Drosophila melanogaster: one gene and its partner. The protein of the gene in region 2 interacts with the protein of the main gene of each other region in a pairwise test. Each region holds a gene or a part of one and is shown on either strand. Other genes may lie near its edges. The genes, in order: CG15126 and CG34168.

Evidence for each region.
Region 1: the proteins of CG34168 (region 2) and CG15126 interact in a two-hybrid assay, tested with the Drosophila melanogaster proteins (2 studies listed by BioGRID).

The regions. Positions count from the first base shown.
Region 1 is NT_033778.4:19,688,749-19,691,636, reverse strand, and holds CG15126 (uncharacterized protein), read right to left. Parts: upstream 840-2,888; 5' UTR 793-839; coding exon 631-792; 3' UTR 559-630; downstream 1-558.
Region 2 is NT_033779.5:16,133,990-16,137,286, reverse strand, and holds CG34168 (uncharacterized protein), read left to right. Parts: upstream 1-2,014; 5' UTR 2,015-2,125; intron 2,126-2,192; 5' UTR 2,193-2,198; coding exon 2,199-2,381; 3' UTR 2,382-2,573; downstream 2,574-3,297.

The DNA of each region.
Region 1 (2,888 bases), on a different chromosome or scaffold from region 2:
AGAATAGGGAACCGATTTCGTAGCGTTAAGAAGTCCTTTGTGGGTCAACCAGTCAGCCTTTTAACCGCTAATGAAGACTTATTTCGCAGCACAGCAAAGGCAATGCACTTATTTATGGTTAGGCCGTAGTATTTCCCATCCGAAATATGGACCGGTTGACAGTATAAATAATGTGTTCCTTTGCCAGAATTTATGGCACTTGTATGTCTTCTGGTCTTCGGCATCCACTTGGCTGCTATAAATTAGAGCCACCGACCAGTCCGACCTTAAATGTGAAGTGCGTGTGTGTATGGCTACAGGATCTCCACCTCCAACCACATCCATCCACTCCCCCTCAAATACGCACACACACACACACACACACGCATTCCCGACACGCAACAAAACACACAGATACCATTGGTACACTTGTATTATGGCAGCGGCTTTTGAGGTTTTAAAGCGTTTTGAGGTGACACATAATGATTAGCCAGCCATTAATTGCTTAGCACTCGAGGCACTCGATTACACTAATTAGGCGTCTTATTAACCTTAAACACATACACAGTTACAGAACTCCTTCGGGGCATTCGTATTTATTACGTGAGGGTTCTTAAAACTACAATCTTTAATAAATTCCTTTATAAATTCTTATGAAATTGTGCAGCAAAGGCAGCAGGGACGAGGTCCGTGGTGATGATGGGGCGGTCCATGGTGATGTGGCGGTCCATGGTGGCCTCCATGATGCGGGGGTCCGCCATGATGCGGTCCTCCATGTCCATGGCCTCCGGGTCCTCCGTGTGGTGGTGGCATTATTCAGATATTTTTGCAAACTTTGAAAACCGTGCGGTTGGGTCCAACTCTTATAGGCAACTAAATCCATATTGTCAGGGTAAATCTAATCAAGACCTGCCTCATAAAGATAAGTACTATCTAATCTGTATAGTATTGCTTGCTAATCGATAGAAGTGTTAGTTAGCACAAACATGGGAATATTATGATGACCATGGCGATGAGTAAGGCCTTGTAAATGCTGAATTAGTCATGACAAATAAAATGAGGAAAACCCCTCTAAGGTCTCCTTCTGAGATAGCCATATGTACAATTTTTTTTTGCTTCTAGTTTTTAAGTGATAAGATTAAGCTTCCAAAATTATAAAAAGTACACTACCGCTGGGACTTTGTGAAATGTGCATTTTCTCTATTGTACACTTAAAATTTAATAATAATTCAAAATAACATAACCCAAGAGATAACAAATGTAACTTTCATTGGTAATCTATTCCAAGGTATTTCCGATTTTCTAAAAGGTTTGTTGGTAAATCGATAAGATAATGGCTTTCAAATTTTGCGGAATTATGTGCTTATAAGACCGCCCAATCGATCAACATTATTCTATGGAAATTCAAATACGAATTCGAATGTTCTTAGAATACACGACTTATTGGCTTTCTTCTGAAACCGAAACTCCATTTGTACTTTATTTACTGCCCTTGCCAATGAAGGCAATAGTACTTAATAATTGTAGAATACGAACTTTCCACCAATCTGATTTTGTCAATTTGCCATTGAGATTGCTATAGTGCATATATAGTTCATGCGAGTGGAGCAACTTGATTTTAATTCCTGATAAAGAAAAGGCAGCCGTGGCCATGTAACTATTTACTTTCCCCATGACATGACCCAGAAAAGTATGGCGAAAATTCGCCAAGCCAAGTGCAGGCACATTCGGCAAGAAAACGGATGGAGCAAGACCAATGGCTTGGCTTTTTGAATTCAATTAATTTTATCTGCATCAGTTTTCCCTTATAATCGCATCCCAGGGCTGCTCACATGCGAAACGGAAAACGGCTAAAGGACTGAAGGACGAAAGGACGCTTACTCGAAAAAAGGACCGCAACTCGTAAAATATATAAAGTCATTGCAAAAGCCAATTTGTATATCAGCGTTGGCGGCTGAGGCCCGGCGATTATCAAACTGCGAAACTTACTTAAAATGCCCTCAAAAGGGGGTTTCCCTTGCCAAATGGAACGGTGAAGGGGAGTTGGCCCTGCTTTCATGGTAACAATTACATTTCACAGATTTTCGTTTGGGGTCGCGTGTGCCGTTGCATGTTGTTGGTGCGGTCGCATTCGCGTCCGCTTTTCGCGTTCTTTATTTCGGGCTTAAAGGAGCTTACATTATCGCCGGGTTGGCAAAAGGCAAAACCCACACACCGGCAGGCGAATTTCCACTGGCTGATGGGCGACGTCTAAATATGAGAATGTTGTGTGAAAATGTTTAAAATCCACGCGAGCCTCTCCGAGCGCAAATGCTTAGCACGCCATAAGTGTCAGCCAGCCATGATTGCCTGCGGTTTTCCCAGTGTATTTTCCCGTCTGTTCTATATGTGGATACAGTTGCGGTTACATAAATAGTGCTAGATCTATATAATATGTTTTGTAAACAAAATGGTTCGGTTTTTACCCTAAGACTTATGGTATTTATTAGTTTTGTTTTGTTAGTTATTTTTGGCTACAATACATTTCATAATACTTAATAACTTTTTAATTGTGGTTCATATTCGCGTTATACTTTTTTTTTGGTTTTTTTTTAACTATTATAAAAACTACTATTAAACTGATCGCGGCTGTAAATGTGTGGGTTTTATTCCTTTGGCCAAGGAGTGGCCACTTTTGCATACCTCCCCCTGAAAATAGCGTGGCGGGCGCTAAGAAAGGAAGTAAATAGTGGAAAAGGCATAAATAATAGCAAATAATACGGCGACAATGCGCACAAATTTGCCGCTAAAGTGTAGTCATTGTCGAGGAAAAAAAAGTAGAAAAAAAAATTAGAAAAGGAGTCCTGTGCGTGAGCTAAGCCACAGGACCTGCCTTTGCTTTTTGCATGATTTCGCTGTTTAAATTTATT
Region 2 (3,297 bases):
ATAAAAGTCCCCATCGCTGGATTATTCAGACAGGCAAGTGACCACAACAGACTTCCTTTGAAGGTATTTTGCCAATTTATTAATCAGAAATCTATTTTTACTACCCGAAAATTTCCTTTGTTGTCGATAGTAATAATTATATTTTAAAGAGTACAGATTGTGTATTAAGTTTAATTTTTATTTATAAGTTACATAAATGAATAATTAATATTTTATGGTTTTAAATTAAATAAAGTTTTCTATTTGACTATGTAGAATCTATGTGAGCACTTGTAGCTTTCCTCATATGTATGTATATTTTAAAATTTATTGTGCAATTATGCATTATTAGTTATGATTAAACATTTTAATGGAGTTTTCTTCCGCTTTTAAGCTGTGAGTTACAAACAAATAAATCAAAAACATAAGAACGGAACCAAAAACTTATCGCTCCAAAACTTCCGCTGCACGGACGCTCATAAAATGGGGGACATTGAACTTCTGAGCGGGCTGAAAAAGGCATTGCTGAAAACTGTAAAAATACCAGCGAAGAAGCCGGAAAAAAACAGTGGAAAAAAGTCACATCAACACGAAACATTAAGCTTCACAGTCACAACATATTCGGCTCTTCGATGCATTTTCCTTAAAGTCGCCATGGAGTTCAAATCGAATGGGAGCGCACGCGCCTGCGAATATGCAATGCTGTAATACGAGACCAACACGCGATGGAGATGATGTTTGGTTACGGAAGGGGATACGGGAATTTTCCCGGGGTATTCGGGGTTCCGGAATCGGAACAGAAAATAAGCTCAACCAGACCCAAAAGGCCACCAAACGAACGGGCTATTTACGAAGGGCGGAAGTGCTTTAATTTAATGTTGGTAAAAGATAAGAAGTTAATCCGATCAAATTTTCTTGGCCTTTCCTTCATTTAATTCGATTAAGTAATAGATGAGATAGTGATGTTGGAAAATCGATGTACATGAGCTTTATAAGTAAATAAACTTGTAAAATGTACAGAATTCTTCATCCTTCAGAGTTTTTTTTACTTATTTTCTTAAACTCATAAAAATTAGGAACTTCGAGATGGATTAATTTACACTCAGCCTTACAGCTTATTTGGGTGAAAACGTGAAAAGTGTTGGGGTAATCGACTCAATTAGCTATTGCATAAGCACACTTTGCACACTCCCGCGCCAGCCAAACAAACACCAAACTCAATTAGATGCCATAACTAAATAATCACAAACACATTTACGCCAGCAAGAGCTCTTTTCAGTTGAAGCAGACCGGTTGGTAACCAAGAAACGTGGCAAAAAAAAAAGAAAAGAAAACAGAGAACCAGGTCAACAACAGAAACAACATGAGCAACAATTTTGAAACAATGAAATGACGACAACGACAGAAGCGGCAAGGCATGCCTGGAAAATTGCTTCCAAATGCTCAGAAGCCAGAGTGGAAATATGGGTAGAGTCGGAAAAGTGGGTGGCCTGGGTGGCTGGGGGACATTCCAACATGTGACGCACGTGACAAAACTTGTCAAGTGACTTTACTTCACTTTGACTGCGAATCCCGGCTCTGTTGTCCGTAAACAAGAAGACGGAATCCCGGCTGTGAAGAAAAATAGGTTTGTGTGCATTGCCCAACACAAAATGCTTAAGAAAACTCTGCTCTTGGTAAAACAATGAAAGGTGGGGCAAAGAGGAAAAATCAGTCGCGGCTTGGCTTTTCCGACTTGTTGCGCCTTCGGCTAAATTATGACATCGAGAGTTTTAGGGGAATGGGAAGTCCTTCGGGACGGACTGAAGTATTTTTGGAGGAGCAATGGAGTGGAATTTTATGGGACACACAAACAATCGGGAACGGTTTTATGAATTAAAATTCTTAAAGCGAATTAGATAAGAGGCTAAGAGGCTAACTGTATATATAGTTAATCAAATTTTAAAATTTGGAAAAAAGCATTTTAAAAGCAGGCCATGAAACCACAACATAGAAGGCCATGAAATCAAAGTTAAATCTGTAGAACTTTGTGGACCAAGCTAGTGGCTTTAGCTCATTATAGTTTCGGTTCTCCAACAGAAAACATCTATTTGTACGACTACCAAATTTCTAGGACTGAAAATCCTACTTCCGTAATCAGGCTAATGTGAGTGTGAACAACAAACGAATTTGTTTCTTGAAAATATCCTCGATTCGTTTCATTTCGTTTTCAGAATAAAATGTGCAATCCAGGAATGTGCTCGATGCCCGGCACTTGCTGTGGACCGACTGGCGGACTGGGACCCTGCCTGCTCTGCGGACCCTACAATGGCCAGTGGTTCCGTTCGGTCAACCACTGTTGCGGTCCTTGTGGCCCATATGGTTGCTGCTCATGCTACGGGCCGTATGGTGGACATTGTTAGCCTGCTTAGAAGGAATGTAGGGTTTCTTTATCCGCGATCTGGAACAGGAGCTTTAAAGATTGCAGCCGTGAGGCCTTGTCGAAGATGAGGAGCCACGCTGAAAAGTTGTCAGGCAAAGTGGATCCAAAGATTTGTGTTCGATGAAAGATTATGCCATCAGAAATAGATGTTAATAAATTATACGTATAATTCAAAAATAGACCACTTTAATTTCACTTCACATGTATTGCTATCAACAGTTAGCAAACCTAATTAAATATTTGGCATGCATTCTGTGGAAACAATCACAAAATTCCATCTCGTAATTTGCCGTTTTTGGTTTTCTTTTCAGTCCGCCGGGTGCATTTAAGGCTAAACCCCATTTGATTGTAAATATTTGGCTCGTTTACGGCTAACGATACATCGGGGACCAGCCAAAAAGACGTGTAATGCTAATGGGCCTGTTGAGTGCAAATTTGTTTACGAGTAAAACACCACTAAAACAGATGGGCTTGCTGATTGCTTTCAATTTTATTTAATCGAGGCACCCCGCATCAGATCGACCAGAAAAATTGATATCGTTAAACATAGTGAACAACAGAAACGGTAAGTTTAAAGAGTATATCATCGTGATACGGCTACTTGGTGCGTTTGAGTGCTTTGCTAAGACTGGGGAAATACTCGTCACTGTTGAGATCAGGAGCTTGAGGTTTTCCGGACATCTTGGATGGAACCTTACGCAGACGGCTCTCAGCCTGATCCCGTCGATTGAAGTCACCTTGGCTCTGGCGGAGAGCAGGTGGTATGTAGATTTGGCTCTTTACCTCGGACGGTTCTTTCTTATTCGGTTGCTCCACAGACATCGGCTCCTTTAGCTTCTGCTGCTCCAGTGCGTGCTCCATTTTCACCCAGGGACAAGTGGTATTGCCGATGTCAT